Linked DNA regions of Drosophila melanogaster. The protein of the gene in region 1 interacts with the protein of each later gene in a pairwise test. Each region holds a gene or a part of one and is shown on either strand. Other genes may lie near its edges.

Region 1 (8,513 bases):
GAATGCAAAAGGTTTTCAACACATTTTATTTACACTTTGCTTTTGATTCGATAAAACTTGTTAGATTTTTCTAAACGACGCTTAAGTATTTATAAGAAAAAATATATCATAAATATTTAATTAATTGTTGGCGGTTAGTTGCTTTAAAACGAAACAAATTTCCTGCTTCCAATAAACTGGGCCAAAAAACAACGAACGAAGAACCAAATTTCAGCAGTTAGTGGAATCTTTTTATAGACATCTTTGTCAATAATGTTGATCAGTAAGTAATACTGGCAATGGTCGCTTTTATAACCATCTCAAATTGTTGTTCAGTAGTAATTTAATATGATATTTATCAGAATTCAAGCAAAATCTATAGTTTAACACATTCCATTGTTGGGAACGCCACTTTGGTATCACAATTGTACTTATCACAGACTTCGGTTAGAGTTGAGCAGAAGATTTCCACTTGTCAACCACATACGGTCCCAATAACCCGCCCTTCCACCAACCTAAGCCATCGAGTGCCGCCATTCTGGTTGATATATTCTAAATTTTCAACTAAGCTGTCTGTAGCTCTAGGTTCCAAGTCAAACCAGACTTGGTTGTTCGCTAACAAGTGTGAGATTAGAATTAAAAGTTGTTTCTTACGTTTCTCTAAATCTTTTGGTGCTTTAGCTGATGCTGGTAGTGATGCGCCCGCCAGTGGTAAGGATGATGGGGCAACTGCCCTGCTCTCTGGTGACTTGCTTCGAACTCCGGTGCGTAGGTCGACGTCCATAAAAACTGGAGATCGACTGCGGGAACGCAGAGAAGAGGTCTTTCCTCGCGACGAGGATGACTTGTGCGACGTGCTGCGCTTGGATTTGGAGGGCGAGCTACTTGGTGAGCTGCTCTTGCGTTTCGCGGATCCCAAAGGAGATCCATTGCGAACATAGCGATCCGAATCCTTAGACGTGATCTTACCGGACCGCTTAACTGTTGGCTGGTTGGAGCTGCTTGCAGTGACACCCTTGTGCCGAACATCAGAGCTCGACGAAGATGAGGAAGTCGTGGAGCTCTTTGACTCACTTCGCTTGCGGCTCGACGAACTGCTGTGGCTAGAGCTTCCACTCTTTCCAGACCGACTGCTGCTGTTGCGCACAGGCGATTTGCTGCGCGACCGACTAGACTTCTGTGAGGAGCTAGATTTGGCCTCCAGCCGAGGATCGTTTCGTGCCGGCGCAGCTGGATGTGAGGATGCCGCATGCATCTGGCGGGCTAGTCTCGGATCTCGTTGGCGCACCGAGTTCAACAGTGCCGGATTGACAGGATGGACTTTTGGTTTATTCGCAAAAAGCTGTAATTCCATAGTTGAATTAGATTTTTTATAGCTTCCACCATCATATTTCACAATTTACCTGCGGAGCCACTGGCATGTTATGCATTACGGGACCAACATTGCCCATTACTCCTGGAGCTCGTTGATTATGCACTGCTATACCGGGATCCGTGATTGGCGGACAAATTGCTGCTGGAGTGGGAGCAGGCATAATAATCGGTGCTCCAACCATCGCGTCCGTGGTTTGGGTCAGCTGACGCTCCTGCTCCTCTAAATGCTTTTTGGTTTGCTCCAGCTCCAGTTCCAGTTTGCGCTTCTTGAGCTCCAGCAACTCACGAGTTTTTGCTTGCAAAATCTCCTCCATGTCGCTGGTGATTGTGGGGTTACCAGGCATCCCAGGAACCAAACCCTTTTTACAATTGAATGGATACATTGGTCTAACTAAAGGGATTAATAGTTATTTGGGGCACTTACCGGTTTTAAGAAATCCGGATTAACATGAATGGCCGGATTGACGTGAATTTTGTTAGTTGGCTGTTTGGCAGTAATGGGCCAGTTGTTATCTAGGCGCTTCACCTTAACGTCCAGCGCGTACATCTTGGATGGCGGGAACACCTCGTTCCAGGTCTGACGCAGGGCATACATGCGTTCCCGCACCTTTTCCAAAACCTGCGACTGTGAGTGCTGGACCTGCAGGATTGAAATAACATTAATGAACCATTGGATTGACATTAAGAAAATGATTTCGCTTACCGATTCGAAGGCGTGGAGGAATATGTTGACTATGCACTGTCCAAACAATTGGACGTAGCTGCTTTTCACATTCTTTACTATCGAATCAATTAAATATAGTATGGGCAATTTAAATTCGGGCGCCACCTGTTAGAAGTTTAGTAAAATAGGTAAGAAATAAAGAAGAATAAGTGTCTACGGAACGTCGCTAGCGGAGATTCAAACGGATAGGTTGGAAGAAAACTAATGAGACAGGCCGATGGACAACACAAGAGCAGGGTCAGCGATCGTCCACCGAAGTCATCATCCTCATCTGCTGGTGGTGGGTGCCTTCATGCCAAGGCGGTCGAACTCAAACAATATCCTAGCCTACAGAGAAATATTTTCCTAAGCATTGGGTGTTGAATGAGGAAACGCGGTGTCTAAGGATCTCCAAACATTAAGGGTTACAGTGTTGGCGTATGATGTTAGCGGTCTGTTCCCTTAGCCGAGTGAATATGAATGAAAATCGCAGTGACAATGTGGCAGAAACAAAGGCTTTTACTACTCTTACGTATTATGGACATTTGTTTTTGTTTGGCTGCAGTTTTTTTTACTTTTACGAAAACTTGCACTTTTCTTTTTGTAATACAAAAATTGCTGCACATCAATTTTTTTTATATTGATTGTAAGCAGTCAAAGTTTTTGTATAAAATAAAAGACAACTTGGTGACAATTGTTTAAGCATTTTCTCTTTTTATTTATTTTTCAATATTTTTTTAAAGGTTGTTTGTTATTCCTTAGCTTTAAACTCTGGGATCCAAAGTAGAAAGAAATAAGAAACGAGGAGCAGGTTGGTTAAACTTCTTACCTTTGTAGATGATTAAAATCAGTCACGGTTTATAACCCAAATTATGAGATATATACTAAGATTATTAGGAACCTATCTACCATTTGTGCCCAAGAGTTTGCAGAAAAACCCAACTGAAAGAACCGAGTCTTAGAAACGCATATGTGTGGCCTTCGTTGGGTTTCTCTGCAATCAAAGGGCAACCGCAATCAATAAACTGCACATTCTATCACAATTTCGATATGGAGAATCACTTTTAGTGTCGACCGTCTATTAGCTGTGTGTAAGCTGGAGTGTCTTTGTTTTTAAGTAAATACGCTTTTGTTTTGTTAACCTGGCTGATGTAATATTCCACCACTTTAACTATGATGTGGGCGTAGTTGATGTTCTCCTCGGCAAGCATCGTGAGCATATTGATCAATGGCTTGCTGTTGCAGTTGAGGTCCTGGAGACTTGACAGATACTCCTCGCCGATCCTTCGCTCATCGTCGCGGTAATTCTGAAATAGCTGCTCCATTGTGGACTCTGTATTCCAGATCTTGATCCGGATATTGATCAAGTTATTTGGTTTGAAGTAGTCGCAGTTGCTATGTTTCGACTGCAAGGGAAAATATAACAAAGTAATTAAATGACATGAAAAGCAAAGGTAATTTGTGTGAAAAAGTTTGCACTATTAATGGGATTTTGTCGGGATATTTTGGATGAATAATGTATTAAGGTTGCGATGTTTGTTAGCGATATCTTCATCTCTGCCCATTTTATTTGTAATAAACCGTGATGCACTGAAATCTTAGGCTGCACTATGTGGATAGATAATCCTGTATACAGCGTATCTATGTATGTAATTCGTACCAGACGTAAACAATCACGCGCGTCCACAAACACAAGGTAATCTCTTACATATATACACACACACACGTACGGAATGACGACGAAAATTCAATATGGCGGCCATGAGCATATTTTCGCATGTGTGGCCTGCCCGAATAAATTAACCAATAAAGTGCTTGTTTTTCCTTTCTGTACATCGCATTTCACGCTTTCACGAAATATTTACGTTTTAGTGAAACTATCTCGTTGCTTAAATTGATTTAACGGAGATTTTCCCAGACAAAGCCACGTTTGTGTTACCACTACATACACACGCGAGTTATCAGTTCGACTTCAATTTACTTTTTCGCGCTGCAGAACATTTAAAAACATACCTTTTTAAGCTAATACATTTGTACAATCACTGCCAGACACTTTTGCGAGGAAAAAATTTCACAAAAGCACTGCTACTATATAAAAATTAGCTTTTGAAAACTCTCACGTAACAACTGCGATGTATTTTTGATGACTTACACTTAAAAGTGTGGCCGTCGACGTGAAATGGAAATTATACATTTTATACAATTTTTATTTAAGGAAATATACTAAAAATATACCATTAAGGTATTTTTTGCATTAAACCGCGTTGCCAACCACTAGAAATGTTAAATTTTAAAGTGCCTTTAAAATTGCAGTATAACTAATTAAAAAAGAAATTAATGTTAGAAGTGTTTTATTTATTTAGTTTTAATGCAATATGCACTATTTAATTTTATAGGCGTTGCCAATTGAATTAATATACCACCAGGTGGCGGTAGTGGGCGATCCGAAAATTAGTATTGTTTCTTTAACTTCATTTCTTCTAGCCAAGTAACGGGTATCTGATAGTCGAGAAGTTCAAGAAGACTATATAATAAGTCTGATATTAGATCAGATAAAAAAAGAAAGAAAAAAAACAGATAAGAAATGCAAAATTCTTATCATACTTTTAATTACGCTCATATAGTAAGCAGAGAATAAATGCATATATTGCATAGACTTTTTCTTCAAGGCGGGTGTTCTACAGTTATCTCTCACTATATCAATTGCATTAACTTGAATCACCGTTAAAAGCTCGTCAAGTCCGAGCTTCAGTTCGATTTGTTTTCAGTGCGCCTAAATTCTATGAGACGAGGTTATCTGCCTAGGTCTGTTTACACTACTGCAGCTGATTGTAAGCGGAGCGAATAGAGGCGTTGGTCCAGTGTTCAGTTCATAGTGAATCTATTCGGGGAGAGGATGCTGGATGTAGTGGCTCTACTGCTTATTGCCCTGGCAGTGGGCTTCTGGTTCGTGCGGACGAGATATAGCTACTGGACCCGGCGGGGCATTGGCAGTGAGCCGGCCCGGTTTCCCGTGGGGAATATGGAGGGATTTCGGAAAAACAAACATTTCATCGACATTGTAACGCCAATCTATGAGAAGTTCAAGGGCAATGGAGCACCCTTTGCCGGATTTTTTATGATGTTGAGACCTGTGGTCTTGGTCACAGATCTGGAACTGGCCAAACAGATCCTCATACAGGACTTCGCCAACTTTGAGGATCGGGGAATGTATCACAATGAGCGGGATGATCCTCTAACTGGGCATCTATTCCGCATTGACGGGCCCAAGTGGCGACCCTTGCGCCAGAAAATGTCCCCCACCTTTACCTCAGCTAAGATGAAGTATATGTTTCCGACGGTCTGCGAGGTGGGCGAGGAACTTACTCAAGTTTGTGGCGAGTTGGCGGATAATGCCATGTGTGGAATCCTCGAGATCGGTGATCTGATGGCTCGCTACACTTCGGACGTGATAGGACGGTGTGCCTTTGGCGTGGAATGCAACGGCCTCCGGAATCCCGAGGCGGAGTTCGCCATAATGGGCAGGAGAGCCTTTTCAGAGCGTCGCCACTGCAAGCTGGTCGATGGATTTATAGAGAGTTTCCCCGAAGTGGCCAGGTTTCTGCGCATGCGCCAAATCCATCAAGACATTACGGATTTCTATGTGGGCATCGTTCGGGAAACTGTGAAGCAGAGGGAGGAGCAGGGCATCGTGAGGAGCGACTTCATGAACCTGCTGATCGAAATGAAGCAGCGCGGTGAGCTCACCATCGAGGAAATGGCCGCCCAGGCATTTATATTCTTTGCGGCGGGATTCGACACATCCGCATCAACGCTAGGATTTGCCCTGTACGAGTTGGCCAAGCAGCCGGCACTGCAGGCAAAGCTACGCGAGGAAATCGACCAGGCTCTGCGGTTACACAACGGTGAATTCACATATGATTCCATGCAGGAGCTGCGGTACATGGAACTGGTCATAGCAGGTGAGCCCGACTCAAAACGAATTTTAAATATTACAAAGATGATACCATTTACCACTGTATCTTTTAGAAACCCTTCGGAAGTATCCCATACTACCGCAGCTCACTCGGATCTCCAGGCATCTCTACGCAGCCAAGGGCGATCGTCATTTCTACATCGAGCCGGGTCAAATGCTACTGATACCGGTCTACGGCATCCATCATGATCCCGCCCTATATCCCGAGCCACATAAGTTCATCCCGGAGCGCTTTCTGGCCGATCAACTGGCGCAGCGACCCACCGCCGCATGGCTGCCCTTTGGCGATGGACCGCGAAATTGCATTGGAATGAGGTTTGGCAAAATGCAGACGACCATTGGCCTGGTCAGTCTGCTCCGAAACTTTCACTTCAGCGTCTGTCCGCGAACTGACCCAAAAATTGAGTTTCTCAAGTCCAACATTCTGCTGTGCCCCGCCAACGGAATTTACTTAAAAGTCCAACAGCTTAGCCAAATGAGTAGTTAGTGCTGCTTATTAAATCGCTATCTGGATTGTATTCTAACATTTAGTATCTACATTTTACAATGCTGTTATACAAATACACAATCAAATGTTTTTATCAATCAACGTAGTAGGTACAGTAAAACTGCTGTATATCTAATCAAGCTTCTTGAGCTTAATTTGTTCGATTAAATATTTGTATTTCGTCACTGACGTTATCTTAGCATTTCACCAGTTCCAGGGATTTTAAATAATGAAATCTGTTTTCCAAGTTTCATGCTTAATTTGTACATTTACGTTGGCAAAAACCAAGTTTGCAAAGAATGCAATAAAAATTACTGGAATTCGCTTTGTTTATATTTTTTTGATTGCGTAATCGCTAGATTGTTTATATACAGAGATTGTATGTATATAGATTGTTTGTTCATATATGTGTATACAACCATTTTAACTGCGCATATGATTCCCTAATTATTATTTATCACATTGAGAACAAACCTTAAGAGAACTTGAACGGTGAGTTTTGTGTGTGAAAATGAGAGATTGGCGAAAAGAGCGAAGTCCTCATACGCGAATGAGCTTGCGTTGTGGCATCCCACTTTAAAGTCAGTTTGTATTGGACTCTGGACGTGAAATGTTGTTACTGGCGCTAATCGTTGTGATACTATCACTGCTCGTCTTCGCGGCCCGACGACGTCATGGATACTGGCAGAGAAGGGGCATACCGCACGACGAGGTACACCCGCTTTTCGGAAACATCAAGGACTGGCCAAATAAGCGGCACATTGCCGAGATCTTTCGGGACTATTACTTCAAGTACAAGAACTCCGATTACCCATTCGCTGGATTTTTCTTCTTTTTCACCCGCACTGCTGTGGTCACCGACATGGAATTGCTCAAGAGGGTGCTGATCAAGGACTTCAATCACTTTGAGAATCGGGGAGTCTTCTACAACGAGATCGATGATCCGCTGTCGGCCACCTTGTTCAGCATCGAGGGTCAGAAGTGGCGTCATCTGCGGCACAAACTGACACCCACTTTTACGTCCGGCAAAATGAAGAACATGTTTCCGATTGTTGTGAAAGTTGGAGAAGAAATGGATAAGGTCTTCAGAAGTAAAACCGCTGCGGATCGGGGTCAAGTTTTGGAGGTTGTGGATCTGGTGGCACGGTACACCGCCGATGTGATCGGCAACTGCGCATTCGGTCTCAATTGCAACAGCTTGTACGATCCAAAGGCTGAATTTGTGTCAATTGGCAAGCGGGCGATCACCGAGCATCGCTACGGGAATATGCTGGATATATTCCTCTTTGGATTTCCCAAGTTATCGCGCCGCTTACGTCTGAAACTAAATATCCAGGAGGCAGAGGACTTTTACACCAAGATCGTGAGGGAAACCATTGACTACCGTCTACGGACGAAGGAAAAGCGAAATGATTTCATGGACAGTCTGATAGAGATGTATAAGAATGAGCAGTCGGGAAATTCGGAGGATGGCCTGACCTTTAACGAACTTCTCGCTCAGGCTTTCATATTTTTTGTGGCTGGGTTTGAGACAAGCTCCACGACCATGGGATTCGCTCTATATGAGCTGGCCAGGAACCAGGATGTTCAGGATAAACTCAGGGAGGAGATTGGCAATGTGTTCGGCAAGCATAACAAAGAGTTCACCTACGAGGGAATCAAGGAGATGAAATACCTGGAGCAGGTTGTGATGGGTATGTTTCTTTAATCCTTCTTATTTTTTATTTGATACATTTATTTAAATATTGTTTTAGAAACGCTGCGAAAGTACCCAGTACTGGCTCATCTTACAAGAATGACTGACACCGACTTTTCGCCTGAAGATCCAAAATACTTCATTGCCAAGGGAACCATTGTTGTGATCCCAGCTTTGGGCATTCACTATGATCCGGACATATATCCGGAACCGGAGATATTCAAGCCAGAACGCTTTACCGACGAGGAAATCGCGGCGAGACCCTCGTGCACTTGGCTTCCATTTGGAGAAGGTCCGC
Region 2 (8,423 bases), 2.4 Mb from region 1:
AAGCTTGCCAGCGAACGTCTTGTCAATGGTAGATGGTGGCTTCGCCTGATCAACCTGCTGGCCCTGCTGCTTTAAGCCGTTGGTGGCTTTGGTGGGAGTCGCGGGTGGTGTCGGTGTGGGCTTGTGATTACAATTGTCACTGTTGCTTCCACTGCTGAGCTCGTGATCCTTGCTGTTGTACGGAATAACGCCGCTCGACAATATATCCTCGCTCAGCAGTGCGGGCACGTCGTCCACTTCCCTGCCGGTCTTCGGAGGACCAACACTGTGACCAGTGACTGAGGAGCTGTTGATCTCGTGCTCGTGCAGCAGGTCGAGCAGATATCCTAGGAACTCGGAGCTGTCCTGTTGTAGGCCGGGCGTGAAGCTAGGCGGCCGGGTGGCGTTCAGCACTCGCGAAGGCGTTAGTTCGTAGCGCAGCGAGTGATGCATCAGGGCAATCTGCTGCTGCACTTTCATGAGCAGCACTGAATTGCACTCGATAAGCAGGATTTGCCTGCTAAAACTGCAAATGGAAAATGAGTATATGTAGTTGTAAGAAGATAAATAAAGCCAATAAGCTTCGTAATCGTAATTATTTTCGTAATCGGAAATTGACACCTAAAACAGATTTATAAACAGTGAGCTCTTAAACAAAAGGTGCTGGCAAGGCAATGCAAATATAGAACCGAGTTTTAATCATAAATATGAGGCAAAGATATTATTTTGCGCTTCTACTTTGGGGAAATTAGAAGTGGGGTTTCTTCATTTGATCTTTACTTACTCGCTGGTCATGGCTAGCGCCTGAAGTACGCTATTCATGTAGCAGGTATTCCCCAGGTTAACGAGTCCAACCCTCGCATTCCGCCGACCCCACGGCTGGGCATTCTCATGCATTGCCTTTGCCAGAGCCACGCAATTCGGAGAGGGCTCATAGGTCTGCAGGGCTTTCTTGGTTGCGACATAGAGCTCATCCTGATCATAGAAACGTAGCATTAGGGCGCTGGTTAGGTCGACCAGTTGCTGCAGACATTTCTTGGTTTCCAGGCCAATCTCGTCCATGGTGGTCGACTGATTCTTCACATACTGCAGGACTCGTGGGATCCTTGGCAAGATCTAATAGGGTAACCAACCAAATGTCAATAATTATGTTGAAGCTAATGTTTGAGTGAAGTGTTTACCTTGTGAAAAACCTCGGGGGTCTGATTAATCGTTGACAGCATGTGAAACACAACCGGTGCGGCCTTTTGCCTCAGCGCCGGAAAGATCATCACGTGGAACAGCTTCTCGATGTTGTCCATTGCAATCTCGTCGAGCAGCGCCATTTTGCCCTGATCCCTTAGCCCCTTGAGCAGCGCCAGCACCCAAAGATTGAGAGTGCTGCAAAAGGTGCAGTACGTGATCCAATCACAGAGCAGGTTCACCGTCTTCTTAATGCTCGAGTCCTGCACATTCTGTTCCAGCAGCGAGTGTACAGCCTCCAGGATCTGCGTGGAGTCGAACAGCTGGAACACAATGGCCACGGCACACGAGGGTGGTGGCTCGAATGGCGACTTGGTGATCAGCTCGTAGACGACACGCAGGTAGAACATTTGGTGGAACTTCTCGTTGCGCGTAGCCAGAAAGGCACCGACCTGGCAGACGTCTTCCTTTAGGCGTGGACAGGATGCGCCTCGTGGAATTTGCAGACGGGCCAAGTCCACGATAACCCTCTCGCAGATGGCCATCACATTGTGGCCTTGCTCCGGCATATCGATGCTTTGGAGGTATGCCAGCAGGGCCTTAATATCCCGCTTGCCCGATCGGTTGGAGTTCAGGCTCTCGCCAGCGGGCGAACCCGTGTCCATGCCCTTTGGCAATACGTTCTCTTCGGCATTCGCCATTCCGTTCGCGGACATGGGTTTGGCGTTGGGCGGAATGCCGTTGCCAGCTCCTCCGGCATTATCCGAGGCATTATCACCCGCCTCGCTGTTATTCTGCTTAACGGCCATTTCGCGTTTCAATCGCTTGGCGTGGGCGTGGACGTGAGTGGCACAAAGGCTTGCGGACCACAGGGCCGACTGGAACTTCCAGTTGCCGATGGGCGGAGGCGTGGGCTTGCCTAGCGCCCGAACACAGCGGCTTTTTCGTTGCCTGCGACTCTGAGCGAGGAGTCTGAGCCGCGTGTCCTTGAACCGCGCTCCGTTACGTGTCGTCGTTACGATTTGACTGCGACCTTTCAACGGGTCTCGAGTGCGCCTCGATCCCTGCCCGATCCTGGCCAGAAACTCCCGCCACAAGCGCTTTAGAACAGAGTCCTAGACGAGTGTGGTGCACGGTAGGGTCGGTGGCCCGTGCCACATCTAAGGCGCCCCTTTTTTCGGATTACCCTGCTCGGCTTTAGCTTCGATTGCTTGCTCACACGTCGCCCGTTCGACTTAATAACCCGAATAGATTTGATTCGCCCTAAAAACTACAATTTTGACTGTTTTAAAACGAATTCTTTGTGATATTTTTCGGATTTGTTAATGTTGTCTACTGAGTCAGTGAAAGCGTTATCGACACGTTCAGACTGAATGACGGGCAGGGCGACTCTGCACGACAAGTCGGGGTGGGTGAGAATGAGGTGGCACAAAATTTGTAATTGCATTTATATGGTGAGTAATACATACTAAACGAAATAATAGTATTTTGATTTATGTTGTTATATTTAGCCCATAAAATAGTAAGTTAGGTCTTACAAACAGCGCTACCAGATCCAGTCAAAATTGAGGAAGCCTGAACGTCTATAGGCCTCCCAAAATGGCGTTGCCATGAAAAATGACAGCTGTTCGCTGCGAATGGCTATTTATGTTTGTTTTGACTCGGCTTTCGAATATATCGCAAAATATATACAGGAAACATTTATATTCACAAAAATCTGTACGATGCACCCAGGGCAAATTGAGGTCAACGAGATCAATGGCTATTGGACATTTCTGCTGAGCGTAAGATACTCGCCTATATACAATCAAAAATCAAGAATCCGGCAAGTTGTCACTATTTTTGCAGATCGATTGGAAGGATCCCTGGCTTATTGGCCTTATTTTGGCGCATATCTTAACCACCACCACTGCGCTGCTCAGCCGGAACAGCTCCAACTTCCAGGTTTTCCTCTTCCTAGTACTGTGTACGTGGACTTGGCGGCTTCCTTGACTTACCCGATAAATGACTCTGATTTTTGCATGTGCTTCATCTTCCTCAGTGCTGGCAGTCTACTTCACCGAAAGCATCAATGAGTTCGCTGCTAACAACTGGAGTTCCTTTTCCAGACAACAATACTTCGATAGCAACGGCCTGTTTATCTCGACAGTTTTCTCAATACCTATTTTGCTTAATTGCATGCTTTTGATTGTAAGTTATAGTGTTTCCACTGCATGAAGTGTGTATTTATCTTTGCTTATTTGCAGGGCACTTGGCTCTACAACTCCACGCAGCTGATGGTGACTCTAAAAACAGCGCAGCTCAAGGAGCGAGCTCGCAAGGAACGCCAGACTAAGGCGGATTCGGAATCCATAGCACATAAAAAGGCAGAGTAGAACTTACGCCTGTATTACATGCAGTTAAAAGCACAAGTAGAGCTGTGAAATTATATGTTATGCTTTAAATGGATTTTCCTGTCATCTAGATGTAGTTTGCTGCACAGCTCTCGTCTTTAAAATAAATTTAATTTAGTATAATCAAACTTATAGAATTTGTAAATTTAGGCTATTTTTACATCCTGTTTTACTTAGCGAAGTTACAAACCTAACATGCCCTTCATATTAAGCAAAAAATCACACCAGTTACCGTTGCCACCTTGGTAAAGCAGTTTTTACTGCCACCTAAAATTTTCTATATATATCACGTAATATGAACTATTTTGATATTTTTGACGAAATTAACATTATAGATCCAATCAGCTTATTGCCTGTATCAATTTCTGATCTGTGTGCCAAGACTGTAATTTCAAATTAGAAGCTCGTTGGACCTGTGTCATTTTTTAGTACGAATTCAATTGGGAGCCCTTCGTCGTCTGGTAACACTGTCCAACGATTTTGTTGTTGCTGGCTTGTGGGTGTCGAAGCAGTGTCGCGGCGCAATGTTGGAAGTGGTTTTTGGGTAAACAAAATCCGTTGATAAGATATTCGCACGGAGCTAATCGCAAATCGCGCTGCGTATTTACCGTTGGCAAGCCAGAAAAAAGTTTTGCATAGCATTGCGGTTTAAAGCCAGGCTCAAAATTCCTGCGAGCTCGCTTGTGTGTGTGCGTTTTTGCCGTCGGTGTGTATGTGTTTTGAGCCCATAAGCGTAGCCCGAAAAAAAGAAGTTTTTCTGTTACCATATTTTTTACCAAAGGCCAAAAGGGCGCAGCATCTTCGCTCTCTATCTCGGCGCTGCATCTTGCTCTCTCGTTCGCTAACGCGAGTTTGGCAACTCCGTTTACCGTTCATCGTTTATTGTGTGTAAACAGCAGGTGAAAATAAAACGCGATAAGTGCAGAGAAACAGGAGAAGGAGGAGAAAGAGCAGCAAGAAGAAGCAGCAACTCCGCGCAGCCCAACAAAAAGTGACGTATTAAAAAAGGTTGCTAATTACAAAAGGTAAACAACAAATAATGTGCGGATTATATTACCAAATTCCCGGGCATAAACAATACCAATAAAATGTTGCTAAGATTGCCCTTCCACCCCCCTCACTTACCCACTGAAATGCGTAGTAGATTTCCGCGATAGGAAAACTCGGATGAGTGACGCGTTGGCGACGCAGCGCACAGTGTTCATTCATAAAAAGTGTCTGCCCCCCTGCGCCCACTCCCAAAACACTCCCCCCTCCCCTCCACACTTTGAACCAAGCCTGTTTGTGGTTGCGCCTGGAATTTAGTTTACAACTAAATATGTTTGCGGGCAGCTAGGAGGAAAGTTCGGATTTGGTTGTTTTTGCTATGTGGGAAACCATAGTTAAACTATTTGCATTCCGTTGGAAAGTCTAGTGGTTCACGCCACGCCCCATGTTCGCTCGTTCACGAAATTATGAAATTGTGTAAATTATATTAAAAAGCTTAACGGGTATATTGATATCTCCTCTATAATACTTCATACAAGATAAGTTTAAGGAACTGAAATGTTTGAAGTTTTAATGAATTTCCTTAACTATTGCGTCTGGTTGACATCCAAGTTCGCATAGTTGAAAAATTCCATATCAAACTGAGCCGCATGCCTTAATAACTAGACCTTTTGCTCATTGAGATTAGATCACATACCGCCATATGGCAGTCGGTGAAATGATTAGCTCAGCGAATAATTAAGCGTCGTGCGAATGAAAAGTCACACACACACACACTGCAACTTGGTGTTTAGATTAGAGCATTTTGTATCTTAGCCCACCTTTGGCAATCGGTGATATCGAATAGCAGGAAAAACAATAATACGGAATTTATGGTCAGCGTGTCGCCAAAATGCCAAAGTCAAGCGAAATAAATACATAGAAATAATGAAAGAAAAAAAACAATCAAAATAACTCGGTGACATCATTTTGACTAATCGCCAATTTTAGCATTTGAAAAACGGCGGCTGCTCGCCCGGCCCACCAACAAGCGCGCGAAGGTGCGAAGGAGAGAGTCCACCAGGGAGGGGGCTGCGAGCGAGTGCGGGAGTGGGAGCGAGAATGAGAGGGGGAACACTCGTGGCAGGTGCGCCAAGCCGAAGTTCAAAACGAAGCTCAAACCCGAATGCCAAGCGGCATTCCGAACCACCTACAAGTCGGCAAGTAAAATGGATCGAATGCTCTTGCGATATCAGCGAGTTTCACTTTCGAGCCCCTCATCTATACACGAATACTATCTGCAATCGGAACAATCACTAGATAATCCCACGATCCAACATTAAGCGCATTGCTTTTATCACAGGTATTAAATCAAAGCCATGCATTTGGAAAAGTGCGCTTGCCATTTGCCAAATTTAAGTGGCTTTAATTGGCTGGTTTTTACGACTCATTGGCATTATGACGATCTTTAAATTTTACGATTAAATGCATAAATCAGGTGTTGAAGTGTAGTGCAAGTGGTTGCTACATATACCCCTACATAAATAGAATCACTCCAGAAAAATATGGCATTCAAGTTGAGTTAACTACTGGCTTGTATTGTAAGCTAAGAAATTGTTAAGTGGTAGCTATTCTCAAAAGCTTGCGCACAGGGGTGCCTTTCTTTAACTCATTATTATATCCATTTATATCCATTACGATCAAATATTCGTTATATATGGAAAATTGCCTAGCCTACCGTGACTCTATTGCCTGCCTGTTGATATTTCCCCCGCGGCAACTTCGATCCGATGCAATTAACTCGAACATATTGTGGCTCATTACGAGGGGCATTCCAATCTGAAGACGAAGCGACTCGATCTAGTTCACAGATACAGAGCTGCATACACGCATCCCACTGGTTATTTCGGTTAATTTTGATGTGTGCTGCTAAGAGCCGAGAGTGCAGAGGACTAGGCACCACTGCTCCACATCCCCAGATATTTCCGACACTACGTGCGCTGCGATGCGACGTGTCGACCGGGTGGGTGGAAATTTGGAAATGTTGTGAAAAGCTAAATGAGGCGTGACACGAAAAAGAAGGCAGAGGGGAAAAAAGAGCAAAGCGACAAACACGCAGAGCAGCATGGAAAAAAAAAGAAAAAAACAAACAAACAAACAGAGCTGAGTGCGGCCACCCACAACATGACAGCCGCCACAACAATGGCCATAGTAGCGTCGAGGAGCAGAACGAGAACGTGGTGCCCACCAAATCTAGCCACGGAGTAATTTCGGCCTAGAAAACAAAGAAAACGAAGAAAACTGCCCAGTTGTCTGCGGAAAAGACAAAGGAAGAATGGAAAACCAAGAGAGCGGAATGAAAAAGGGGGACCAATTCCGCACAAGGCGCACAATTAACCCTTTCTTTGAAGTCAGCGGCGAATGTATCCACTGTCCACTTTCCACTGGGCTTTAATTAGTTTATGGAACAAGCGTCCCGGCTCGGCTAACTGCAATAAAATTAATCGTTTATGCTGTAATCGCATTTAGCGGCGCCGACCTCCTTTCCACTCCTCTCCTCCCTACTCCTCTCCACACCGGATTCTGGCCCGGATTTCCACACCCGCAGTGGCCTCGTTTGATGTATGGGATGTACATACATTTATCGCGGGCGACAACTTTGTTCTCCATAACCAAGAGGCAGTCATGTGTGGGCATTCCATTACAGGGGATTTTCGCTAGCGATTGGAGCGTAAAGCATCTGGTTATTTTAAGACCAAGCCCATAATAATAAACCCAAAGGGCTAACCATAATTGTTCTTGCTTTACAATCAATTTTGCTCAAAAAAAAGAAAAAGAAAGAAATAACTCAAGAAACCAATTAACCGCAAACAGTGAAGTCCAGAGTCCACGAGACGTACATGCTCAGCAGCAGGAGTAGCAGGATGCGCGACAGGATTGGCCACAGCAGCCAAATCCACTGGAGCACATCATGCAGCTGTCCGCTCCGTACGGAAATTGATAGCACGGGGAATACGGGCGGGGACCACAGGACCACGATCCGCCACGAGGACCACAAGATGGCGCACAACCACCTCTGCCTCTGCCTCCACATCCACCTCTCCCTCCTCCACCGCCTTGGCCGCCTCCTCCTCCTCCGCCATAGCGGGAGTCACAGAAGGTGGTGCCAAAGGGCCCGTTACCGCCACTCCATCCGCATCTGGTGAAGCCCGAGTACTCGCCATACGGACAATCGCCGCACGCACGCTCCGGATAGGGTCCAATGTAGAACGGATTGAACTGTCTGCAGCTGGACATGTTAGCTGGCTAATATCGGAGGTCCATCAATTGGAAGGCATTCGGTATCAACTACTCACATTCTGGACTTCACTGTGCGCGGCCAGTGAGCTCCTCTATTCGGTATAATTTCGATAATCGCCTCCAACAATTGCTTCGTTATTTCCCATTAAAAGCCGAAAAGCCAACTAGACTGCCCATAAGTATGGCATTCTATGGAGCCAACTGATCCGACTGATTCGATCGACAGCGGTGGGGGTTAATATATGGCCATTGTTTCATCTGGCGCGTGTTTTGTTTGTAAACACCGATCGTGGCCAATAAATATTTGGGCATCGGACTTCCGCTTTGCGAATGGGGGGCCATAATCTAAATATTGTTTATTTACAATATATGTGAAAAGCATTGGCAAGAATAGCATTTGTATATTTGTATATTGTTTATTTGAGTTTAGTGTGCAATAATCGAACTAACTAAAGAGGGAATATTAAATATTTGTAGTAGACAACTCTGTCCACTTCAAACGTGCTTATATCAGCACAGTGGCCTCTGGCTAAGCTGCATTGATTGGTCAGATTGTTCGTCGTCGTCGTCGTTGTCGTCGTGGCAATGCCATTATGTGTGACA
Region 3 (6,734 bases), on another chromosome or scaffold:
CAAGGTCGCATTTCCAATTTGACTGCGCCACTTCTAATCTCGCAAATGGTTTCTTCCCAATAAAATAAGATCATCTTGCCCAAAAAAAAAGTTCCAAATGTACTTAAACCAATCCCTTCGTTTTCCGACTTCAATTCGAAAAGTGCGTGGTAATGTCGTAGATGATCCGATTGCCACCAGTGCCGTGTTCCTTTTACCAACTAAACGAGGCCAAATGGCTTGGAGTTGTGATTAGGAGAGTGGGAATGACCCGCATTAGATGGGTGTTTTCGGGCCGGGCGTAGGTGCCTAGATGATTGTCTCAGCGGCACAAGTCCAAGAGATTGGCAAAGAGATAGGGACGGCGGGAGGGCGCAACTTGCTTGAACTGCTGCTGCGTCATTGCCACAGTAGCTATCGATGCGGGAATACTTAATCCCGGGTACTAATTCCCCTAAAGCGACAGTTTCCCTGTGGATATCCAATAGCATGGCCATCTTTACCACCTTGAATGGAGTTACAGGAGCTCCTATGTATGGTTGCGACGCTCTGAAGTTTCCTGTTCTGAGTCTTACAGGGTATCTTTGCGTGTCTCTGTTAGGCAATGGCCACTGTACCACTGCGGTTAGTCACCGCCATCGGAATTTCGTCTGTGTTGTGTGCCTGCCTATTGTCTATTGCCATGTCTTGCATTCGTTCTCTTGGGCTCTCCAATGAGGCCCCAGTTCGCTTAAATTGGCTGCTCCAACGGCGGTCTCCAGTTCATTCGTTCGCCAACTGCCGGCAAGCTCTTAATATCAGACGGAACGTTCTCTTAGCTGCGGCCTGTCCGTCCTTTTCTGTGATACCCGATTTTGTGAGTTATATATTTCGGTGAAACTTGTTCTCGTGCAATTGTTATTATTATTATTATTTGGCCTGGCTTTTGACTCACTTGAGTTGGACAAGGCCAACCGGTTTGGTTTGCTCCCATGTATACGCGTCCGTGTGTGTGTGGAAAACGCAGCTGTGTTATTAACATGGCGAATCATTGCTAATTAGATGAGAGAACTGAAAGAGATTGGCAAATGTACAGTGCAGGGTCGAAGTTAACCGACTCGATGGAAAAGTTGTCCCTACATCTGTTTCGCTGGGTAATTCATGACTTGCTGTTTTTCATGTTTGCTGCTTCGATGGAAATGTTTGATTTCCGATCAGCACGCCTCCGTCCGCAAAAAGCCGAATCATCAGCTCCTCTATCATGGGCATATCGGCGATACATATACCAGCGATACCATATTACCATACATCATAAAGCCAGTCACTTGAGATAGGGGCGTGTAGACATTATCGCCATATCAGAACAGAACCGACACACGTTTACAGGTGTTACGGTTACGCTTTATACAATAGGTGTTTTCCTCACCGCCTGGCTTTTCTTGATGACGTAGCAACTTGAGGTTCTTAGGTATGCCTAGTTGACGTGACATTGCAGTAGGTCGGATGAGTCAATCGATTCGGACTTGTCGCTAGGATCCGCTTTGTTGTGGTCAGGTAACCATCGATGGCAATTAGGCAGCTGCTACCCTATCCTCGGTGTTGCTTAAAATAAGTGCCCTGACACACACAATTTTACAATTACATATCATGGTTTTAAAGATAGTTAGTATTTATTGCTTTAGACTTTTCATTAAGGTGACTGTTCAATCTAATTTTAGTTCAATTGTTTTCGGAAATGGTCACAAATCATTATGAAACGAACTTTACTTATTTGGTATAGTATAATTTCTCTGAATTTTTGACAGTGACTCAACGAATCTGGTTATGAATGATGATCTCTGGCAATTTAAGTAAATAAATATTGATCCTCTGTTTAATCTCAAAGCTCAACTTTTGGATAGATGGATTTAAGTGTTTGATTTACTTAGATTTTCCACATATTTTAGTTTTTGTTCGAGCCCTTCTTGACGGCCAAGAGCTCCAGTCGCGTAATAGCATCGTCCAGAAACCTGCGCTGCTCCTGCAGCTGCGGTAGGAGCTCCTCAGCACTAAGTGGGTGAGTGGGCTTAGGTGTTGCCAAGCCCGTTGCAGCTGATTTTGCGGATTCAGTCCAACGACTCCGCAGACCTGATACTCCTATGGATGGCCTAAGCATGTCCAGCACTCTTTTAATGATAGAGGGACTGGAATCCTGCTGCGGATCCGGGGAATGATCCTGCTGGTGGTGGTTATGTTGCTGGTCGCTGGCCACACTGCCCTGTGGAAACTCTGGCATGGTCAGCAAGGGTCCCCACAAAAAGGAACCTAATCCGGGGCCAGCCGGCGATGCGCCTTCCGACGAGTGTCCTTCCAGTTGCTTCCCTTGGGAGGCAAAGCGTCCGTCGAGCAGCTCAAGTTGTCGTTTCAAATCATCCAATTTATGCTGCAGGTGTTCAAAGTCAGCCGTTAGATTGATGGCCAGCCTCTGCGTGGTCTCGCCCTTGGAGATTTCCTCGAGCTTTTCTATCTGAACGCCTATTTGATGATCTCTTAGCTGTAGATCTTCCAGCAGAAGTTGAGTTTCCGCTCGAAGCGGCTGCTCTAAAAAAAGACGTGCGATCTCCGCCTGCAATAGCTGTTTGTGGGTGCGCAGCGCACTTAGCTCCAGTTCCTGAGGATTCCCAAGATTCGAACGGACCAGAACTGATCCCAGGATCATAAGCAAACACACAAAGACTTCTGAACGCGAGCGAAGCATTTTCTCGACTGATATTCGTTTTTTGTTGTTTCTACCTGAGCAGCAAGCGGTGCCAGAATTTCCCTTGGACCCTTGGAGAAAAACTGGAAAATTTTGATGTGTCCATTCACCTACACACTCTTCTTATCTGTATTGTTATCTCCGTTTCTCTTTGCTTGTCTCTTTACATGATGGCTTCGGCAGGTGGTGCCGTGGGTTCCTACCAGTCCAAGTGCAGCAACCAGAGTCCCAGTACAACCATGTCGACGGAAGAGTCTTCGCCGGATTCGGAGTACACAAGTGCGGTCCCCGTGGACTGCAGAGTTACGGATCTGAAGGAGAACGAAATGAAGCAGGTGGACTTCGATGAGGACACCCGCGTGCTGCTCGTGAAGCAGAACGATCGTCTGCTAGCAGTGGGTGCTAAGTGCACCCATTACGGAGCTCCGCTCCAGACTGGAGCTTTGGGTTTGGGTCGTGTCCGCTGTCCTTGGCACGGCGCTTGCTTTAACCTGGAAAACGGAGACATTGAGGACTTTCCTGGTCTCGATTCCCTGCCATGTTATCGCGTGGAAGTGGGTAACGAGGGACAGGTGATGCTCCGTGCAAAGCGATCGGATCTGGTGAATAACAAGCGACTCAAGAACATGGTCCGACGCAAGCCCGACGATCAGCGAGTGTTCATCGTGGTTGGCGGTGGTCCTTCTGGCGCTGTAGCCGTGGAAACCATCCGACAGGAGGGCTTTACTGGGCGCCTAATCTTTGTGTGCCGCGAAGACTATCTGCCCTACGATCGCGTTAAGATCTCCAAGGCTATGAACCTTGAGATCGAGCAGCTGCGGTTCCGCGACGAGGAGTTCTACAAAGAGTACGATATCGAACTGTGGCAAGGAGTCGCCGCCGAGAAGTTGGATACCGCTCAGAAAGAGCTGCACTGCAGCAATGGCTACGTGGTGAAGTACGATAAAATCTACCTGGCCACAGGCTGCTCCGCCTTCCGGCCGCCTATTCCCGGTGTTAACTTGGAGAACGTCCGCACTGTCCGAGAGTTGGCGGATACAAAGGCGATATTGGCATCGATCACCCCGGAGTCCCGCGTCGTCTGTCTGGGATCGAGCTTTATCGCCTTGGAGGCAGCTGCTGGGTTGGTCTCCAAAGTGCAAAGCGTCACGGTTGTGGGTCGTGAAAACGTCCCACTTAAGGCCGCATTCGGCGCGGAGATTGGTCAGAGGGTGCTCCAGCTGTTCGAGGACAACAAGGTGGTCATGCGCATGGAGAGCGGCATCGCCGAGATCGTTGGCAACGAAGACGGCAAGGTATCAGAGGTGGTGCTGGTAGATGACACGCGTCTGCCTTGCGATCTGCTGATCTTGGGCACTGGCTCCAAGCTCAACACCCAATTTCTGGCCAAGTCGGGCGTGAAGGTAAATCGTAACGGATCCGTGGACGTCACTGATTTCCTGGAGTCCAATGTACCCGATGTGTATGTGGGCGGTGATATAGCAAACGCCCACATTCACGGGCTGGCCCACGATCGCGTGAACATCGGGCATTACCAGCTGGCTCAATACCATGGACGAGTGGCGGCCATCAACATGTGCGGCGGGGTAAAGAAGCTGGAGGCCGTGCCCTTCTTTTTCACCCTCATCTTCGGCAAGGGAATTCGGTATGCCGGGCATGGCTCTTACAAGGATGTGATCATTGACGGCAGCATGGAGGACTTTAAGTTTGTGGCCTACTTCATCAACGAGGCGGATACGGTGACAGCGGTGGCTTCGTGCGGCCGGGATCCGATTGTGGCCCAGTTTGCCGAGCTAATCTCGCAGGGCAAGTGCCTCGGTCGTGGCCAGATCGAAGACCCGGCCACCCGTGAGGACTGGACAAAGAAGCTTGGCCAGCCGTTGCCCCAAGTTCGCTAAATAATCAACTTAATGTGTATTACCGCTGAGATTTGTTGTTATATTTTCATGCAATCGTTGAGTATTTATTATGGGTACTCGTATGCAAAACTCTATAAACGTGTAACTATATCTGTGTATATTTATAATTGTAGTTGTGGGGACTTCCTTGAGTTCCCGCCGCGGTTGCCACTTTTGGCCCAAGAGATCAAAGATGTAAGCGTTTCATTCCCTTGCCACACAATGGCGTATTGGTTTACTTTTGCTAAATAAAGAATTTTAACGTTTCGTATTTAAAACAATAGTTTTGGCTTTTTTCCTATTGATGAATTTCAAACAAGGTCGTTAGCTCCTCGCTTCACCCGTTAACTTACAAACGGTTTTATCCGTGAGTATTTCCGTACTTTCCACACTTGCTTATTTTTACACAGTCTAACTAATTGTTCGCGTTCAAACCGAAATTCCAAATTAGGAACGTAACTCTAGAATCGATGGCCTCACCTAGTCGGAGTTCCCAGCGATCCCTGCTTAACGCAGGCCTCCAATTGTTTACCACAAAGCTGGGTAGGACCCAGCACACGGTATGGCTTTTGAAAATGGTCATGTGGGGTGTACTAACTTACCACTTTGTCGGCGAATAGCTTCCGCTGAGTGATTTATCCTCGCTGCATGGTGTCGACCTACATCATCAGAATACTGTACCGACTGGGATGTCCCAGCAGCTGGCGGATGTCCAGAAGCGCACCCAATTTCTTGAGGAGCGGAACCGCCAGCTCAGGAATCTGGTTTGTAAAGATTCGTCCGACCACTGTTTGTAGTAAAAGCAGTTCCTCCTCAGGCGCTGGATAAATCTGACCTCTTCGAGTCACGAACTGCCATGCTGTGCTCCCGAGCTTTCGACATCAGTCAGGAACTGTTCGTAACCAGGATGAGGATTAACGACGTGGAGAACGCCTGCACTGAACTTCGAAGGTATTGTACTGACCGCAGTCGTCTAGTTGGGCTATCTAGTCTGTTCTTCCACAGTCGCATCCTGGACGTAAAGCTGCGACGCATCCAGCGTCTCCGGCTCCTCTGCCACGAGATACAGAAACTGCAAGAAGCACTGGAACACCAGCTGCCCCCGATCCTGATGCACGTCTGGCACAGACTTTGTTTCCTATGGAACTGTGTGGACTGCCTGGCGCTTGTGTCCTGCGGGGCCCGTCCCGTCTTCGAGGCAGAGAGCAAAATGGATAAAATGGATGCCCTCAATCTCTTCGTGGCGGGCTTCTGACATGTTCCGCCTTGTCCTGGCCCTTTAGTATTTTAAACACTGGTTATCGAGCACCGCCGAGTTATCGACAGTAATCGGCTAATCGAGTCGGGAAAAAGTTACTTTAAACCATTGTAAATCACTATAGAATACCGACACTGAAATGTAGAATGTAGTCATAAAACTTTTTTATTACGTGTTTAACCATTCTGCGACTAGTTTTTTTTTGTGCATAATATCGTAAAGCTTTAGCGATTATTTTCGAAACAACATATCGCCATATCTACTGTTGCGATAACTTTCGAAGTTACCTATCGAACTGTTTGAACAACCGATGGTTTTCGAAGACACTATCGCAAATCGCATACCGAAGTGATTTCTGGTGCATTTTTGTTTCTTGTTTGTGCACGTGCAGAACGCAAATAAATGCGCCGAGCCTGAGTCAATGCGAGCGGACAGGAGGACAGCGGATAGCGGGCGGCCATGGATCAATTCTCGCACGATCTGACGTTGGCTCTGGACCTGACGCTGATGGACAGGGCTAGTGGCGGCGTCGGTAGGTGGGGCTCCCGCCGCAGGACACGTTCCACGGGCAATCTGCGTAAGTAGCCATCGCACGCCGACTCCTGCTCGCGGTAACCCCCCTCTGCTTAGCCTGCGCCCCTCAGCCCACGGAGGACTCCTCGAGCAGTCCCACGGATGCGCTAAACCAGGGGCACCATCACGGGCATCATGGCCACCACCACCATCACCACCACACAAGTGCCAACGTGGACGGACTGGACACACACAACCTTAAGTTGCCAGCCAGCGACTCTGACGAAAAGGCGGAGGCGATGCTGCCTCTGCGTCTGCCACTGACCTTGCCTATACGCATGGGTGCCCTGGAGTCCGACTCGCTTAACGA
Region 4 (7,574 bases), on another chromosome or scaffold:
AGTGGCCCAACGACAACTACTCCTAGATCCACAACAACAACTACCACAAGTGGCCCAACGACAACTACTCCTAGATCCACAACAACAACTTGCACTTGTTCCCCAACGACAACTACTCCTAGATCCACAACAACACCTTCCACAAGTCGCCCAACGACAACTACTCCTAGATCCACAACAACAACTTGCACTTGTTCCCCAACGACAACTACTCCTAGATCCACAACAACAACTTCCACAAGTCGCCCAACGACAACTACTCCTAGATCCACAACAACAACTACCACAAGTCGCCCAACGACAACTACTCCTAGATCCACAACAACAACTTCCACAAGTGGCCCAACGACAACTACTCCTAGATCCACAACAACAACTTCCACAAGTGGCCCAACGACAACTACTCCTAGATCCACAACAACAACTTCCACAAGTGGCCCAACGACAACTACTCCTAGATCCACAACAACAACTTCCACAAGTGGCCCAACGACAACTACTCCTAGATCCACAACAACAACTTCCACAAGTGGCCCAACGACAACTACTCCTAGATCCACAACAACAACTTCCACAAGTGGCCCAACGACAACTACTCCTAGATCCACAACAACAACTTCCACAAGTGGCCCAACGACAACTACTCCTAGATCCACAACAACAACTTCCACAAGTGGCCCAACGACAACTACTCCTAGATCCACAACAACAACTTCCACAAGTGGCCCAACGACAACTACTCCTAGATCCACAACAACAACTTCCACAAGTGGCCCAACGACAACTACTCCTAGATCCACAACAACAACTTCCACAAGTGGCCCAACGACAACTACTCCTAGATCCACAACAACAACTTCCACAAGTGGCCCAACGACAACTACTCCTAGATCCACAACAACAACTTCCACAAGTGGCCCAACGACAACTACTCCTAGATCCACAACAACAACTTCCACAAGTGGCCCAACGACAACTACTCCTAGATCCACAACAACAACTTCCACAAGTGGCCCAACGACAACTACTCCTAGATCCACAACAACAACTTCCACAAGTGGCCCAACGACAACTACTCCTAGATCCACAACAACAACTTCCACAAGTGGCCCAACGACAACTACTCCTAGATCCACAACAACAACTTCCACAAGTGGCCCAACGACAACTACTCCTAGATCCACAACAACAACTTCCACAAGTGGCCCAACGACAACTACTCCTAGATCCACAACAACAACTTCCACAAGTGGCCCAACGACAACTACTCCTAGATCCACAACAACAACTTCCACAAGTTGCCCAACGACAACTACTCCTAGATCCACAACAACAACTTGCACAAGTGGCCCAACGACAACTACTCCTAGATCCACAACAACAACTTGCACAAGTTGCCCAACGACAACTACTCCTAGATCCACAACAACAACTTGCACAAGTTGCCCAACGACAACTACTCCTAGATCCACAACAACAACTTGCACAAGTGGCCCAACGACAACTACTCCTAGATCCACAACAAAAACCTCCACTTGTGCCCCAACGACAACTACTCCTAGATCCACAACAACAACTTCCACAAGTCGCCCAACGACAACTACTCCTAGATCCACAACAACAACTACCACAAGTCGCCCAACGACGACTACTCCTAGATCCACAACAACACCTTCCACAAGTCGCCCAACCACAACTACTCCTAGATCCACAACAACTACTTCCACAAGTCGCCCAACGACAACTACTCCTAGATCCACAACAAAAACTTCCACTTGTGCCCCAACGACAACTACTCCTAGATCCACAACAACAACTACCACAAGTCGCCCAACGACAACTACTCCTAGATCCACAACAACAACTACCACAAGTCGCCCAACGACAACTACTCCTAGATCCACAACAACACCTTGCACAAGTCGCCCAACCACAACTACTCCTAGATCCACAACAACAACTACCACAAGTCGCCCAACGACAACTACTCCTAGATCCACAACAACACCTTGTCCAACTACAACACCATCTGCAAGTCCTACAAGAACAACAACAACCCGTCGTCCTTGCCCTTGCCATCCCCAGCCTCCTTACCAGATTCCTCCTTGGTCATGGTGGTATCCGAACCCGACCTACCCCAATCCCGTGTGGCCCTGGCAACCTAACCCAGTCGTTCCTCAATGGCCACAGATGCCCGGATATCCAAATCAGTGGCCACAATTACCAGGTTATCCCCAGCAATTACCACCGCCGTTGCCATCACCTCAGTGGCCGTGGTCTTGGCCAAAACCACCAGTAGTTCAACCTGGCGACTGTGAAAACATATGCGAAAACCTACTGAAGGGAGTAAAATATCAAGAAGATCTCATCAGAAGGTGCTTGTGCACACGAACATAATCCTTTAAAAAAGAATCACGTAATTGTTTTATTAAAATGTTGTCTATTTAAAAAAATAACTTAAAACAAAGTTTTGATGGTTAAAAATATCGAACGGGTATGGTATGGATGTAGGTTTGATGATATTGAATGGCAAGTCTATCCTTCAGAAGTGGGAGGAAGGATTATGGATGTCACAATGGCGCATGCGCCTATATGGTTTTTGGATTCCCATGTTTTGCTTAACACTTTCGTCCCTGAGAAGCTCAGAAAGCTTGGGCGCCATTCATCAACAAGTTTGCATTCGGACTTCAGCACTCTAATCGACACTTGACTACATTATTACTTATTTAAACGCAATCATTTGACCCATTATTTTCCGACGCCTTTGCGTTTGGTTGCACTGCATTGCTCATGCGACATATGGTCGCACTATATGTTTGGAGCACACATTCGGACAAGTTTAATGACCAATTGCCAAGGGATTGGAGAACTCACTGCTCTTCGAATTAGGTTAGCACATTAGCTGGTTAAGGACAAACGTGGATTGAAGTTAGGATGGGGAGAGAAACAGGAAAACTTAACGAGTTCTAGCATATGATAATGTGTACAGCCATAAACTTATAGCTAACATCGTAATCCGTGCACAAGCTATTAAAAACTTCAAGAAGATATGTCCCTAAATTTTTCCAATAGTAATAAATATATAACCAAATTTACTCTCTCTGTAGGGCATACTACAATCCTAATAAGCTATAAACACTCCAGAGCAGAGCCTCTAATTTGCTGGTAATTTATCAAAATCTAGATTATAATCCTGCTGATGGATTATGTTTCGGGTCGATTAGTACCCCAGTTATAGGACTACTAGAGTTCGTCCTTCGTTCAGCTGAGCTTGCACATTTCCTACACAATAAGCAGATGTTAATGGCTCCCTTCTTTGTTGTTTTTGTTAACTTGTTAATACAAATACACCGTGTGCCAATTCACAAATCCAACAAGGTATAGTGGACATGCCAACAAAAAAGCTAGCAAAGCAAATAACACATTGTTGACAAACAGCGGGCTATTGGGGTGAACCTTCAAAAATCTATTGAACAAAAGTATTACTCGTCATATGTATTGTAGCATTTTAATTAAGGAAACATGTATTTTAATCAATATAACTTAAACTTAAAGATAGTAATGGTTGCACATGTCGTATGCGCAATTTTCATGAAGAGTGGTCCGCTCTAAAGGACACATACGTGGTAACAAGGGGGCTACGCTGGCCCCTGTCCCCACCTCCCGAAATGGTTTGTGGGTGGATTTGGTGTGGCCCTGTCCAATGGCTAGCGCGCAAAAATAATTTTTGTTATTGTGTTTTCCCTCATAAGTGGACATGACGGACCCAACGAAAGCTCATTCAGCGCTGGACAGGCGAACTGGAAAGGTCTAAGACGGAAGATGTCATCGCCGGCAGAGCGGGCGAACTTCGTGCAGCACTTCGGACAGACAACCTGAGTGATGGGCTGTGGCTCCTCCATGGATACGCAGACGAATCCTGTCGTCACGGAGGTCAGCTCGGAAATGCAACCTCGCCAGAATGGCGCCTCTGGAGTAATAGCACTTGAACAAGTCGTCTTACCTTTGCCATAATCAATACCTCTTCCATTTCGTCATCAGAATGTGGTCGAGCAATATGTGCGCCTGGACGAGCAGATCAGCAAGCTGGAGGGCACATGTCCTGGTCCTCGAATGGCCACCGCCGAGGCCTGGGTGGAGCACATTCAGAGCAAGCACGAGGCGATGCTGGGACTCGATGGCATGGGAGTGTCTCCTTTGCGCGAGAGGGAATGGGAAACCGAGGAGGCCCTGCCCATTCCAGCTTACACAATGGGGGGGCGGCAGGGCGACCCAATTGTGGCCAACACGCCCACCAAGGACCTGGCCCAGGTAAATGGCCTGCCATTAGTGAATGTGATGAACTTCCCTCAAGTATATTATTACCATTCGACTTTAGCTTGCCTACAACCTGGGCGTAATTGGCGATGCCCGCAAGGCTTCCATGCACGAGGATTTCTTCGCCAACCTGAGCGAGTCCGCCATGTATTTGCTTAGCATTCGTTACTACGGCGAGATGTTGGAACACACTAAGGTGCGTCTAAAGACTCTGGCCGAGAGCTATGCAGAGCTGAACGAGCTGTACGTAAAGCAAGACGGGATTATAGCGTATATAAGCGGGGGAACGTACATGACTCGGCTGGAGGAGAGCATTGATGAGCAGCTTGAGACGGCAAGAGATACAAGGGATAAGCTGGGCAGCGCACTGGAGCAGTGGCGCATCTGTGGATTACTACTTAGAGCAGCCGCGAATTCCTCGACGCAGGCATTAAAACAATGGCGACAGCTTGGACGGATAATGTGGGTAAATTAATTCCCCACTTAGAACTTGTTGACATGTTATTTCTCGTTCAGAGATCCCAAGCAAAAGCTTCAGTGGGCGTTGGACTGTCGAAGTCTGTTACACGCCTCCACGATATCCCTAGAGGCGGCTCAGCTGGCTCTGCCGCACGTGGAACTCAAGTACATGAGTCATCGGCAAGTCCTAGCCGTCAAGCACTGCAACACCTACCTAATCACGGATATAGCAAACAAAGCGCGGTAAGTTAATATATAGATTTCTCTAGAATCTTCTACAAAGGGAAACGAATCCCTTTTAGGTACGAGCACACCAGTCGGGTCTTCACCAGTTACGAATCAAACATGTCCAAAACCTGCACGTGGCTCTACGAAACCTTTAACAGCACGCTGCGCCCAGACTACGACAGGGCGGAGGAAACTGTATGCGGGCTGGCCAAGACGCTCCGGGATCATCGCGAGGAGGTCTTCAACACGGTGCGCAAGTGACATTAAACTTATTGCTCAATTATATGGGTATTTTGTACATTACTTTAATAAACAGTAGGCATAACATTAGTACCAATAGCTCTTGACTGGCGTGCGTTCCTCTTTGATGCCCATTTCCTCCATAATGTCCATCTCGAATGTGGACAACTTGGGCTGAAAGGTGATCTCGCCCACAACAGCGCCTGAAAAGGACAGACTTGTATGACTAGGAACATATTGAAATGCGATAATAGCCCATACCTGGCGTATCCTTCTCCCTTTCGATATAGGCGTTTGGTGTTTTATAATCGTGCGTCTGGTTGTTCGTCTCCGGGATGGGTATGATTCGGCCAGATCGCAAGGACACCCGCACTTTCTCGCCCTCCTCCGTGAAACGCCACTCAAAGTCGGTGCCCTGAAGATCCGATGGGTCAACCAGACGAATGTCCTTGGTGACGTGCAAAGGTGCCTCGGACTTGATAATGATACCGGGAAACTCCTTCTCACCGCCAACCTTGCGATAGTGCCAGTTCAGGCCCTCTACAATTACCCAATTGCGCTCGGGTATAACCTGGGTGACAATTCCCTGCTTTCCTTTGTCTTTACCCACAAGGACTTCGATACGATCGCCGCGGAAAAAGCTCCAGTCCTCTGAAAAGGATATACAACCATGTTTTATTAGGTTTTAGAGGTCAAGGCTTCTTATTCCTTACCAATTGGTTCCACTAGCACCTTGCGACGCACGGTTCCGGGCATATTTTGCTGGCGGAACTGACCCGTCCATGAACGATTTGTGGTGTAGCGGAATCTCTTTCGCTCCACGGTACGCGGTAGGTAATTAATCTCCTTCGGAGTTTGCCAGTACACCTGTGTTGAGATGAAAAAAAATATTTTAATAAATGTGAAACATTTTCCATGCGATGTGTTACGTGAGCCGCTGTTCACAAGTTGTTCAATGAAAAAGACTCTTCCTGTTACCTGTTTTTTGCTGCGCTCGATGTATTCCTTGGGCAGATTGGAAAAGTTCTTCAACTTGCTGGCCAAATATTGCGTTAAACGCATTTTGAAAGGTTAATTCAATTATTAATAATAAGAACTAGTAAATTAAATGCGGCTTGCAATCAGCTGTTGAGAACTGAAGAATAGCCATTCACAGGAAGGCCCAACAATTTTATTTATATTTAATGTTTATGCGACTCTAAAGATTATGAACACTTGATGTAGGCTTGTAAAATATTTAAATTAATTATTTTCGAGGTTTAAGAAAATATCTTAGCTTATATATTGTTAAACATTATGATATAGAAATTTAAGAACTAGCAATTATTTCCCCGTGTAAACGTGGTTCGCTGTGACTGGCAAGAAGAGGTAAGAAGAAGCAGCTGCTATTTGTGGACTACTCTTGGTGTTTTATATCGTTCGCCGTAGCCCTAAATTGCAATGCAAACCGGCTTTATATAAACAAAAGGTAAGTGCTAGACCATATAAATGTGGGCACGTGCGGGCGCAACATCATTGGAAGACGGAATCGCAACCGGAGAGCGTCTATTCCGGCCAGCTCAGTCCAACCGTTTGGGAAGGGCCTTTCAACGCTTAGTCATATCCATATCTCAGCGCACACCGAGACAATCCAGTTCCTACCCACCCATAAGTTCCTCATTTAACAAGCAATATGTCCCACCACATAGATATGGAAGACCGCACTGATACGGAGCCCGTGCTGCTCTCCAAGCACGCCAAGAATCTGCTCCGATTCCTTAATCTCCTGCCAGCTCGCATGGCCTCGCACGATAACACCAGGTAAGTGCATCCTGGCCTCGTATTTAACTTTTGGTTAACCATTTCCTTGTCCATCAGGAGCACCATTGTGTTCTTCGCCGTCTGCGGCCTGGATGTGCTAAACTCATTGCATCTGGTGCCGCCACAACTGAGGCAGGACATCATTGACTGGATCTACGGAGGATTGGTAGTGCCACGCGACAACGAGAAAAACTGCGGCGGTTTCATGGTGAGCATAAATTCGCGTCTGTCAGGTGTACAAACAGTCGTTGACAAGCCAAACAGAACCATCTTCCGCTCCCACATCCACTCCCAATCAAGTTCCTTATCTCCATACGTGGCCAGGTAGCAGACACTGCGGCAGACGTTGTCGCATCCCTTACATATTGGTGTTTATTCAGTCAGTTGATATACGAGCATTCGCATTTCCTTCATTGAGAAGCATCCACGAAGTAAATATTTTGAAAGATTCATTTCCAACAAAAAAAGTATGCAATTCTTTATTAGCATTTATGAAGTTTGTTTTTGTTAAAAATATCTAAGAAGCCACG

Evidence for each region.
Region 2: the proteins of Pcf11 (region 1) and Dyb interact in a two-hybrid assay, tested with the Drosophila melanogaster proteins (one large-scale study listed by BioGRID).
Region 3: the proteins of Pcf11 (region 1) and CG4194 interact in a two-hybrid assay, tested with the Drosophila melanogaster proteins (one large-scale study listed by BioGRID).
Region 4: the proteins of Pcf11 (region 1) and synr interact in a two-hybrid assay, tested with the Drosophila melanogaster proteins (one large-scale study listed by BioGRID).

Annotation. Positions count from the first base shown.
Region 1 is NT_033778.4:14,866,851-14,875,363, forward strand, and holds the start of Pcf11 (Pcf11 cleavage and polyadenylation factor subunit), read right to left. Parts: upstream 4,222-8,513; 5' UTR 4,070-4,221; intron 3,463-4,069; 5' UTR 3,382-3,462; coding exon 3,199-3,381; coding exon of another isoform or gene 3,121-3,198; exon of another isoform or gene 2,796-3,120; intron 2,183-2,795; coding exon 2,057-2,182; intron 1,994-2,056; coding exon 1,778-1,993; intron 1,713-1,777; coding exon 1,383-1,712; intron 1,322-1,382; coding exon 634-1,321; coding exon of another isoform or gene 455-633; exon of another isoform or gene 1-454. Other genes in the region: Cyp6a22 (cytochrome P450 6a22), read left to right, coding at 4,953-6,018, 6,086-6,519; Cyp6a17 (cytochrome P450 6a17), read left to right, coding at 7,130-8,213, 8,274-8,513.
Region 2 is NT_033778.4:12,433,312-12,441,734, forward strand, and holds the start of Dyb (dystrobrevin), read left to right. Parts: upstream 1-4,033; 5' UTR 4,034-4,078; coding exon of another isoform or gene 4,079-4,098; 5' UTR 4,099-4,579; intron 4,580-7,321; exon of another isoform or gene 7,322-7,424; coding exon of another isoform or gene 7,425-7,817; exon of another isoform or gene 7,818-7,826; intron 7,827-7,876; coding exon of another isoform or gene 7,877-7,878; exon of another isoform or gene 7,879-8,009; intron 8,010-8,423. Other genes in the region: DUBAI (deubiquitinating apoptotic inhibitor), read right to left, coding at 1-505, 764-1,095, 1,161-1,970; Tmem18 (transmembrane protein 18), read left to right, coding at 2,886-2,945, 3,010-3,127, 3,203-3,351, 3,408-3,536; CG30334 (uncharacterized protein), read right to left, coding at 7,425-7,817.
Region 3 is NC_004354.4:2,064,568-2,071,301, reverse strand, and holds CG4194 (uncharacterized protein), read right to left. Parts: upstream 2,711-6,734; 5' UTR 2,696-2,710; coding exon 1,901-2,695; 3' UTR 1,614-1,900; downstream 1-1,613. Other genes in the region: CG4199 (uncharacterized protein), read left to right, coding at 2,879-4,593; CG14054 (uncharacterized protein), read left to right, coding at 5,064-5,153, 5,214-5,357, 5,411-5,544, 5,599-5,848; CG4281 (uncharacterized protein), read left to right, coding at 6,311-6,428, 6,482-6,734.
Region 4 is NT_033779.5:4,938,970-4,946,543, forward strand, and holds synr (sayonara), read left to right. Parts: upstream 1-3,772; 5' UTR 3,773-3,882; coding exon 3,883-3,975; intron 3,976-4,041; coding exon 4,042-4,311; intron 4,312-4,378; coding exon 4,379-4,779; intron 4,780-4,833; coding exon 4,834-5,019; intron 5,020-5,078; coding exon 5,079-5,265; 3' UTR 5,266-5,331; downstream 5,332-7,574. Other genes in the region: Sgs1 (salivary gland secretion 1), read left to right, coding at 1-2,397; mRpL24 (mitochondrial ribosomal protein L24), read right to left, coding at 5,332-5,447, 5,506-5,895, 5,958-6,111, 6,223-6,306; betaggt-I (beta subunit of type I geranylgeranyl transferase), read left to right, coding at 6,935-7,044, 7,102-7,252.